3 linked regions of the Arabidopsis thaliana genome follow. The protein of the gene in region 2 interacts with the protein of the main gene of each other region in a pairwise test. Each region holds a gene or a part of one and is shown on either strand. Other genes may lie near its edges. The genes, in order: RPK2, GPT and PIN6.

The links.
Region 1: the proteins of GPT (region 2) and RPK2 interact in a protein complementation assay, tested with the Arabidopsis thaliana proteins (one large-scale study listed by BioGRID).
Region 3: the proteins of GPT (region 2) and PIN6 interact in a protein complementation assay, tested with the Arabidopsis thaliana proteins (one large-scale study listed by BioGRID).

Annotation. Positions count from the first base shown.
Region 1 is NC_003074.8:378,258-382,014, forward strand, and holds the start of RPK2 (receptor-like protein kinase 2), read left to right. Parts: upstream 1-2,092; 5' UTR 2,093-2,468; coding exon 2,469-3,757. Other genes in the region: AT3G02125 (pinin-like protein), read left to right, coding at 1-726, 837-1,125.
Region 2 is NC_003071.7:17,299,869-17,303,625, forward strand, and holds the start of GPT (UDP-glcnac-adolichol phosphate glcnac-1-p-transferase), read left to right. Parts: upstream 1-1,703; 5' UTR 1,704-1,893; coding exon 1,894-2,276; intron 2,277-2,354; coding exon 2,355-2,442; intron 2,443-2,530; coding exon 2,531-2,622; intron 2,623-2,711; coding exon 2,712-2,830; intron 2,831-2,938; coding exon 2,939-3,054; intron 3,055-3,143; coding exon 3,144-3,271; intron 3,272-3,365; coding exon 3,366-3,452; intron 3,453-3,616; coding exon 3,617-3,677; intron 3,678-3,757.
Region 3 is NC_003070.9:28,969,004-28,972,760, reverse strand, and holds the start of PIN6 (Auxin efflux carrier family protein), read right to left. Parts: upstream 2,048-3,757; 5' UTR 1,907-2,047; coding exon 1,476-1,906; intron 1,211-1,475; coding exon 579-1,210; intron 1-578. UniProt on the Arabidopsis thaliana protein: Component of the intracellular auxin-transport pathway. Regulates auxin transport and auxin homeostasis. Directly involved in the regulation of nectar production. Involved in unfolded protein response (UPR) activation.

The sequences.
Region 1 (3,757 bases), on a different chromosome or scaffold from region 2:
AAGGTCATCTTCACGATCGTCATCGATAACATCTGCTTCTTCGGATGGACACTTTGATATCCGACACTTTCCTCTTCCCAAGCCATCATTGTCTGCTTCTGAGGCACAGAAACTGAGAGAGTCACATCAGGCTTATAATTCATCTGTTAGCTCATATACCAGTTCCTCTTGGTCCTCAAATCACCAGAACCATCTTATTGATTTACCCGGTTACGATCCAACCAGAATTCCATCCTCAGTTTTCTCTAGTAAACCGGGTAATTCGACGGAATGGAGTCTAGCTTCTAATGAATCTTTGTTTAGCATCCACGATGGGAATTTTAGCATTTCAACAGCGTTGAGATTGGCTGAGATACCGAGATTTGAAGAAACGGTTCACGTGATAACCGAAATCAACTCGGTTCCTCTTCCACCTCCGGTTAAGAAACCAAATGAATATGAGAAAGAGACGATTGCAGAGAAGGAACCATACCAGGTGGAGAACTCAAACTCAGATATTGAGGATAATGAAGAAGAAGAGAAGATGAGTGAAGTCGAGAGCGACGACGAACATGAAGAAGAACAAACAGATATGATCGAAGCGGAGGCTTTAGTAGAGAAAGAAGTAATAGAAACTGTGAAGGAGAATAAACCTGAAGACTCGAACAGTATAGTTTCACATTCTCCGAGCATTTCTTGTCGTTCGGACACTAGCAATAACAGCATTGGTTCTTTCGCATTCCCACTGTAAGTCGTTCTCTTCAAAATCTCAATTTATCGATCCATTTTTGATGATTTCTTGAGCAAGAAGAAACTTTAAAACCCTAATTTTACTTTCTTTGGAATTTATGTAACAGATTGCAAAAAGAAGATGCAGTTACCAAAACGCCGTCTATGCAAATCAAAGGAAACGTTTCCCACAAGCGAAGACCCGAGTATCAGCTGCCTCAATCGCGAATGCTACAGCCACAACAACAACTACAACCTTATTCAGAATCTAATATGCTAACTGAGTCTCAGCCGGAACCACAACCACAAAGGAAGGCATCAAAAAAATTCGAGTCTCGAACGCAATCGCTAAAAGCTTCAAGAACCTGCTGGTTCTCTTGCTTCCATTGTCCTTCAAAATGCGGTTCATTCAAGTAGAGGAGACTTTTAGCGTTTGCGTTTGAAGCGATTCCTCTTCTTATGTGTAAATTGTACGGATGAAAATAGTTGTAAACCAAGAGTGATGATCCAAACCGAGTTCTGGTTTTCAGGATTAACACCATATTTTGGTTCGATTAATTTCGGTTACCGGATGTTGTAAACCGGTTGATGGATGATATAACTCTTATGTCATGGTGATGCATACATACAAGGACCACATTTCATTATTACTTTATTTCAATACGTATCATTATTATAAGTAGTAGCTAAAAGACAGATATATTTCACTAAAAGAAAAACAAACCTTTTTTTCTTCTAATTGAAAAGGTTATAAACTCAGTCTTTTTATCCCCATAAATGTGGCTAATGTGTTGTGTACATGACAAAATTATAAATTTATATTTAAGAAAAAACATTTTAATTTGCTTTATCTTGAAGCTTCCTTTAGTTATATCCTTGAAAAGAGGCGATTCTGTCCCTTTTTCACTTTACAATTTCTCAATATTTTTGTTATAAAGAAACACATCTTTGTCACATGCATTTATGTATAGTGGCAGGCGATTTTTCTTTTAGCGTGAGATTATGAAATTTTCCTAATATAATGCATGTCCATATACATATATCTATCTGTAATAAATGTTAGCTTCAAGATCTTAGCATAACATTGGTCGATGAGAGATTGATACGTCTAGGAGAGTTGAAATATTGTTACATTTATTGTGACTCAACATATTTTATTTCATCACTTCGAATAAACAAAAAATTTAAAATAATCTGTCCTCAAATTTAGTGATAAGATAATCTTGCATCTACCTACTGTTATCAATCATGTACCTATTGCGATTTGATGTGGTGAGACTACAATGATCGATGTTAAAAACTTTTAATGTTAACTTCACTACATGATCGATAAATAATCAAAAATTGCTTCTTCCAAGTTAAAATTACACTAAAGAGTTTGTTAGCCAATAGGAAATAAGGAAAGTGGACCCACTCTCTCATTCACAGAACGATTTTTTATTTTTTTCTGCATAAATTAAATTAAAAACATTTTTAAGATCTTTTATCAAAAAAAAAAAAAAAGAGAGAGAGAAGAAAAAAACGCGTCTTCCTCAGTGACAGTGTTGAATTCTCTCATCTCTTTCTCTCTCTGCTTCATCAGTTTCTCTCACTACAAAGCTTCTCATCATCTCCCTAAATTAGGGTTAAAGGGTCGAGCTTGGGATTGTTTCGCACGGTAAAAGGAAGGATCTTTTGCTCGTCAATTGCTATATTAGCAGACCTTGCGAGGTGGGTTTAGGGTTTTGTTGTAAAAACATTTTTGGGGATAAGTTACGAAGATGACTTCTTTGCCTTCTTCAGTGATCAAATGGCGTTTTTTCCGCAGACAGATGCCTTCAGACGTTGTCTTCTCGCTCTGCTTACTCTGTTTCGCCTCCTGTCTCGCCGGAAAAATCACTGTTTTAGCTGATTCGGACAAATCCGTGTTGCTTCGGTTTAAGAAAACGGTATCGGACCCTGGTTCGATTCTAGCTAGCTGGGTCGAAGAGAGTGAAGATTACTGCTCCTGGTTTGGTGTATCTTGCGATTCGAGCTCTCGAGTCATGGCTCTTAACATTAGTGGCTCTGGAAGTTCTGAAATTAGTCGAAATCGTTTCACTTGTGGTGATATTGGTAAGTTTCCGTTGTATGGGTTTGGTGTTCGGAGGGATTGTACCGGAAATCATGGAGCTTTGGCGGGGAATTTGCCTTCTGTAATCATGAGTCTCACAGGACTTAGGGTTTTGTCTCTGCCTTTTAATTCGTTTAGTGGAGAGATTCCTGTAGGAATCTGGGGAATGGAGAAGCTTGAAGTTCTTGATCTGGAAGGGAATTTGATGACGGGGTCATTGCCGGATCAGTTTACTGGGTTACGGAATTTGCGGGTTATGAATTTGGGGTTTAACAGAGTTTCAGGTGAAATCCCTAATTCGCTGCAGAATCTGACAAAGTTGGAGATTTTGAATTTGGGTGGTAATAAGTTGAATGGAACTGTTCCTGGTTTTGTTGGGAGATTCAGAGTGTTGCATTTGCCGTTAAACTGGCTTCAAGGCTCTTTGCCTAAAGATATTGGGGATAGCTGTGGAAAGCTTGAGCATTTAGATTTGTCTGGTAATTTCTTGACTGGGAGGATTCCAGAGAGTTTGGGGAAATGTGCTGGTTTAAGGTCGTTGTTGTTGTATATGAATACGTTGGAGGAGACTATCCCTTTAGAATTTGGGAGTCTTCAGAAGCTTGAGGTTTTGGATGTTTCTAGGAACACTCTTAGTGGTCCATTACCTGTTGAACTTGGAAATTGCTCTTCGTTGTCTGTTCTCGTTCTATCAAATCTGTACAATGTGTATGAAGACATTAATAGTGTAAGAGGGGAAGCTGATCTTCCTCCAGGCGCTGATTTAACCTCGATGACCGAGGATTTCAATTTCTATCAAGGAGGAATCCCGGAGGAAATCACTAGGCTTCCGAAACTAAAGATACTTTGGGTGCCCAGAGCTACGTTAGAAGGTAGATTTCCAGGAGATTGGGGTTCATGTCAAAACTTGGAGATGGTTAATTTGGGTCAGAACTTCTTTAAAGGCGAAATTCCTGT
Region 2 (3,757 bases):
AACATTTGTTAATACCATATATATTAAAAATTTGACCAATAACATATATATATATTTTTTTTGTTAATTTTCCTTTTGGTTAAGAAAAATAAAATGTAATATTTTTTAGATATAGAAATATGAATTAGTATATGTTAATAATGATTTCTTTTTTTAGTTTTCTATTTCTTTAAGAAAAAAAAAGTTAATTATTTTCTTACACATGGCAACATCTGATCGATAGACTTGACACGTGGCATAATCTTATGAGTTAGTAACTTTGAAAACCATACTTTATATAATAAGATTTTTTTTTGTTAATTTTTCTTTTGGTTAAGAAAAATAAAATGTAATATTTTTTAGATATAGAAATATGAATTAGTATATGTTAATAATGATTTATTTTTTAGTTTTCTATTTCTTTAAGAAGAAAAAAGTTAATTAATTTATTTTTTAGTATTTCTATTTCTTTAAGAAGAAAATGGTTAATTATTTTCTTACACATGGCAACATCTGATCGATAGACTTGACACGTGGCATAATCTTATGAGTTAATAACTTTGAAAACCATATTTTATATAATAAGATGTTGATTTATTCTTACTTTTTTTGCTATATCTTTCCTTATATTTCATACTTAATATTTTTTTTTTGTTTCTAAGATACATACATTAACTCTCATATTTATTGTCTTAACTAAATTTTACTTTTATTTGTACACGTGGCTTCCCCCCACAATATTTTTGACCCAAATCCAAAAAAAAAAAAACACTATCAATAATATTTCCTCTTACCATTTATGTCTTACACACAAGTGTCAAAATATAGTAGAAGACATAGAAAATGTTTAGATTATGATTAAATATCACAAAACTTTTGTGACATAAATCATGATCCATATGCATCCAAGTTCTAATAATAGGTCGATTCGATCTTGTAAAAAAAAAAAGTAATTAATAGTAAAAGATTTTGTATTGAATTTTGAGATATTTTTCTCTCACTATAAAAAGATGAATTGTGTAGCTAGAGATCATAACAAACTCTGAGGAGATTCAAGCTAAGGTACATTTACAAAAACTTATTTTAAATTACAATGGGTTGTTGCATTTTCGAAACTGATCCTACAGACCAATAAGTACTATTCAGTTAATTTGAAAACACTTACAAAAAAAACTAAGATATAATTTAGCAACTTTAACATTTTTTATTATGTTTGTAGGGACATTAATGGGAAACTGGTGTAGTTGTGTAACAAAAGATGAAAATAGTGATAATTCTAGTAGCTCTCAAACTTCTACGGATAAAGAAAGTAGTGTGCAAGTTTCTTCTGTGAGCACTACGTCTTCTTCAGAGATTTCATCTGAATGTTCTTCTTCAAAATGATCATCTCAAAGCTCCCAATGATGGAAGCGTAACTAGTGAGCAAATGTCGCATGGATCATCTTCTTCATCTTATCAATAAAAAAATCTTCAAAATAAATAATTTTCTATGTCAATTTTTATATTAAAAGAAACTTTGTTAAAAATTATGACTATTAATTAATAACTATATTATTACATAATCTTTTAAATATAAGTTTTAGTTTTAATTTTTAATAGTTGCTTTATGTCATGCTGATGTGTTGCTACAACAAAATTCTTAGCAAAATTTATGCATTTTTTTCTTAAAAAAAGAGAGTTCTATAAGTATAATCCAAGATATATTCTTGTACTTAATACGAATAATTAAAGTTATGATTAATCCATAAAGTTCTATTTCGATGACACGGTGTCGTATTTGAAGCGACGTGGCAAATCCTTATTGGTCTATATGACGCAGAACGGGAATTGCTCTGAAGAATCCTTTCTCAGGCGAACGGAGTTTGGAGTCAAAATCCAGAGCGCGGGGAAACGAAACGAGCCAACAAATCCGCCATGGCAGCTCGTAAGAGAGCTTCATCGATCTCAATTCCCAACAAACCGGACCCGTCGGAACCCAACTCAGCGCCATCGGAGCAGAAGATGACCCGAAAGACGGTTTCTGCTTCCGGTGAGGAATTTCGTCTCGCGCCGCCGAAATTAGGAGTGATCTTCGTGATCTCTACTCTTCTCTGTTCGCTCTATCTATACCTTCTCTGTTTTCACTACAAGGTTGATAATGAGCTCAAGCGATCGATTCTAATTAACGCGGGGCTTAGCTTGGTTGGGTTTTTCGTCACTCTCAAAATGATTCCTGTTACTGCCAGATACGTTCTGAGACGTAACATGTTTGGTTTTGATATCAACAAAAGAGGCACGCCTCAAGGAGATATTAAAGTGTGAGTTTTTATCAATCTCTGATTTTCCAAAGATTAAGATTAGTTTGATTAAAATTTCTTCATCCTCTTTGTTTTCAGGCCAGAGTCATTGGGTATTGTTGTTGGTATTGTCTTTTTGATCGTGGCGATAATATTTCAGTATTTTAACTTCACTGAAGATTCTAATGTAAGTGTGCATTAACGTCTTGTTTTATTAATCTCTGTGGTTATTCTCATTATCAATGTTTGTGAGTCTGGCTGATGATTCTGTGCAGTGGCTTGTGGAGTATAATGCAGCACTAGCATCTATTTGCTTCATGATTTTGCTTGGATTTGTAGATGATGTCCTTGATGTGCCTTGGAGAGTGTAAGTCCTAATTCCTACATATTTTTTTGATGAAATTCACGCTTATCGTTTTTGATTCACATGTTTACTGTTGTCAATTTAAACAACAGAAAGCTTGTCCTGCCATCTTTTGCTACCCTTCCACTTTTGATGGCTTATGCTGGTCATACAACTATTGTTATACCAAAACCTCTTGTTGCTTATATTGGCTTGGAAGTGCTTAATCTAGGTAATGGTTCTTGTACATGATACCACCTATTTGTACACATTGACTTGTATTTTTCTTTTGAGGAGGTAAATGATTATGATTAGCTCAATAGATGTTTTAACGTGGCAGGAAGGATATATAAGTTATATATGGGGCTACTTGCTGTCTTTTGTACAAACTCTATTAACATCCACGCTGGTCTGAATGGCCTTGAAATCGGTCAAACAGTTGTTATTGCCGCTGCTGTAAGTCTTATGGTCATACATAATGTCTCTGAATTTTTCTCATTTTGTTTCTTTTGGGTTGAGATATGATGCATCCCAGTTACCTGTAGATCCTGATACACAACGTTATGCAAATCGGAGCATCTGTTGATCCCGAGTATCACCAAGCTCATGCCTTCTCGATATTTCTTACTCAACCGCTGATGGCCACATCCTTGGCAATGCTTGCTTACAATTGGTAAAATCCCTAGCAGGCTTTCTCTTTAAAACTTTTTTTTTTTGAGTGGAAGTAATGATATTTCTGACCAGTTCTCGCAATCTTCTGCTGTTAGGTATCCTTCTTCAGTTTTTGTTGGAGACACTTACACAGTCTTCGCCGGAATGACTATGGCAGTTGTTGGTATTCTGGGTCACTTCAGGTATACTTCCAAACCCACTTATCTTCTCTGAGGCACAGGCACTTCACTAATACATGGAAACTACCAACTCTTAGATTGATCATTTGCATCATATATCCAGCTACTGTATGACCATGCAACTGATTCCCATGCCATCTTTCTGTATTGAAATTTTGCTTCTGCAGTGAAACCCTCCTCATCTTCTTTCTTCCTCAAGTTCTGAACTTTCTATTATCGCTTCCTCAGGTTCATATCACCTTTTCACTCTTCTATGGCATACGTATAATCTTGTCAACTCATGTTTCAAAAATTTAACATACTATATA
Region 3 (3,757 bases), on a different chromosome or scaffold from region 2:
TAGAAAACCATGCGTCGGTTTCGCTGATGATTACACACGTGAGCTAGAGGAAAATGATAGAATCTCCCAAATAAATTCTTTAGAATGGACATTAATTTGATGAGTCCAAAAACATCATGAGAAACAAAAAAGTCAACATCATGTTGACCATTTTGGTGATTTTATTGATGATAGTAAGTGTGTGGGTGGTATGAGGGGTCCGCTTTGTTTACATGCTTCATCATGTTGTCCTATAGAATCTTAAGCTCAAAAACATGAAGTATCAAAATTCAAAAGTTTCCACACAAAAAAATAAAATAAGTGGGATTTAGTGACTATTACTTATAAATTTTATAAAATTAGATTGAATTTCTAATTAGTTAATTCCTAGGGATTTGGAAAGTAAAAGAGACAATGCTAAGTTTTTTTATTTCTGAAAAGCTGCATTTTATGTAGTCTATCAATGTTTTTCTATTCATTAAATCTTTTAAAAGAACCAATGATAAAGAAAAACACGAAAAGAGAAGAAAATTGACTAAACGCCGTCGTGTCAGTGCTAACGAAAAACGAAAACGACACATCTTTCAAAGAAAACGTACCATTGATATCTTTGGCTGCATGTCTTTGCCCAGACTCCCACATCATCTTCGGCGAAGATTGCCGGTATATTCTCCCGGCGGCAGGAGATTTCATCCAAACCGGCGTACCGTTTCCGTTAACGTCAAGCTCGTTAAAGTTCGAGGCACGTGGTGTTGGCTGCAACGAGTAAGCATCGGAGGAAGCATAACCCGAGAGCCTTCTAGGACTTGCACCTAATCCGGGTCGAGTAAATCCGAACCCGCCTAAATCTCCGTTACAAAACATGATCTCGTTACTACCGTTATAAAACTGAAGGGTACCGCTTCCTCCTCCGCCGTGGAAGAAACGGTTATTAGGAGTGTTGACGGAGAAAATCTCGGCGTTAGAAAGATTAGAGGCTCTAGGGGTTAAGCACAAGGAGGAGGACATAACAGAATCAGGTACGGATGATACGGACCGTCGGATCCTGAGCCTGATCCGACCGTTAACATCGGTTTCAGTTTCTGTACGGAGCGGATCCATGCCGTCTAAGGAAATGACGTCATCGTCGACTTGGATCTTGGCGATTGATCCGGCTGCTTGACCCGGAAACTCTGCTCGGATAAGCAACCTCGCTGCTCGGAGTTCAAAGAGGAATAGTAGCAGAGTATACCTATACATGTATATACACTTAGCTTATATTATCATACGTTATAATTAAATAATTCAACTAATAAGAAGCTTGGGTTAGTAAAAACATTTGATTTGGTTGAATTATATCCTAGAGTAACGAAATTCATTTAAGTTTTGGTTACAAAATCCATGAAAAAATGTGTGGTAAAAATATGTGAAATCACAAAATAATTCCATTATTATGAGGTTTTCTAATCAATCACAGGGTAAATGAATAAAGAACGGATAGTAATTTGATAACGTACCAAATGATGCATTGAAGAACAACGAGTTGGACCATGAGGGTTTGAGTGTAATCTCCATACATGGCCTGAAGCAAAGGTATGCCCATAACGAGAGTGTTAGGGAGAGTAGCGATTGAGAATAGAGTGATGAGCCAATCGAGACCACCGGCTTTGAAGAAAACGGCCCATAGAGAGAGCAAAACGAAGACGAAGATTTTGGACAAAGTGTCGGCGAGGATGAACATTGTGTCCATTTTGTAAGGGTTGTTTTGTGAGATGAAGTGGAAAGAGAGGACTGGGACGGCGAAAACGGAGACAAAACGGTTGATTCCGGAACATTGCGCCGGCGTGAAGATCTTGCACCACTTTACCGATCCATAAGCCACGAACATGGCGAAGTAGAGTGGTGCCATGGCACACATCACCGTGTAGAATTCGTTTCCCGTTATCATCTTTTTCTTTGCCTCTTCTTCTTCTTGGTATGTACTATGTAGGTTAAGTTATGTGCCAAATGTTTGTGTGTTGGGTTATATAGAGACTTGTTGACGAGATTACCCCTTAGTTAGCTTCGTTATGAAATTGCATTAGGGAGGGATTAGTGATTATTATATAGATTGGTAAAATACTGCTGCTATACATATATAGTTGGAAATCTATATATAAAGCACTTTCTTTTTCTGGACCTCATCATTATTTTAATCTCTAAAATTCTCATTAAATAGACTCATCACAATTTTAAAATTAATTAATAAGTTGATTTGTTACTCTTTTTTTTTTTTAATTCAACTTCATAATTAAATTATTGAAAATCTAATCCAAACCGGGAAAAAGATTTTAATAGAATATTTAGAATAACTTCATGCAATAGATTTGCTTTGTAACCCGTATAATCATTCTCAATATGTACACGCATAAGTCTCTTATTTCAGAAATCTATATAATAAACAAAATTTCGTAATTCAAGAAAAAAGTACACTTTGTTTACCCAAAATTGAAAATTCTGTGTTTTGCTTAAGTGAGCTTTGCACCCTTATTATTGACCTAACTCTTTTGTTTTCTTTTCTCTTATTTTTACTTTTACAGTATTTTCACTTTTAGCAAGTGTATATCTACTTTTGCAGTATTTTACACTTTTTGCATACAGTTGCAGCAAACTCGGATAAAAAATATCTGTTTATCCAAAACTATCACACTTGGTGTCTTGTCGAAATAGGCTTTCACCCAAATTATCCCCCTAACTCTTTTGTTTTCTTTTATTGATTATTAAACTTCTTATTTCTGGTGTGTTTTATGACGAAAAGCTATATGACTATTCAATTCAAAATCTACTAGAAATACATGCACGAAAAATGAAGATAAAGTATATACTTCAAATTTGAAGCTTTCTAGTTAAAGCTACGGAAATTGGTCAGTCATTAATGACATGACAATTTCCATTTTGTTTTTGTCTCATGCAACTCTTTTGATGTATCTTCCCACCATTATATACCTCGTCTCGCTATGCTCAAGAACAATATCATGAAATTCGTCTTTTAACATATAAAAGAACCAGTTATCAATTATTCAAAAAACAAATTAAAACAATCAATAATGAAGTAGAGTCAGGTTTACTAATTTTCTTAAAATATGGAAAGCTAACATATCTGAAACTAGAAAATGTTTGGAACTTCTGACCATATAAAAGGAATGTAATGAGCTTCTTGTACTAACAATACATATGTCACAATTAAGCAAAGGGTCCACAGAGACATGATTACCTTGTTCTTAATTTATTCACATAGATATACAGAAATTGTACATATATACATAAAGAAAGTGAAAGGAGATCCTCATAGAATCTAAGATCAATGATATCGGCGAAATGGGTGGAGACTTACAGTGTTAGCCTTTTACTCTCAAGCTTAAAAGCCTTTAGCCTTTAGCCTTTTGGCAATTGCAAGAACTAAGTCATACGTAACCTTTTTCTTATAAAATAAATAATTTACTTTGTCAACGAAAGGCTACAAAAAAGTTTGGGATTATTGATTCCGTCCTATATATCTAACCTAAGATAAATATTAAGTAACCCTACTTTCTAACCAAAATGTGCAGACAAGAGTTATGTAGGATAATATATATAATCACTTATAGTTATGATTATTTTCCCCGATGGGTAATGGCATCAAAGCCTCATGTAACCTATATTGTCTGTATATATTAGTACACACATGAATCTGACTAAAACAATTCAGGATAAGCAAGTTTGTTTGTTTCTCGACGACTAGCGAAGCTGTCTTTATCATTCTATATCGTAATGTTATGTC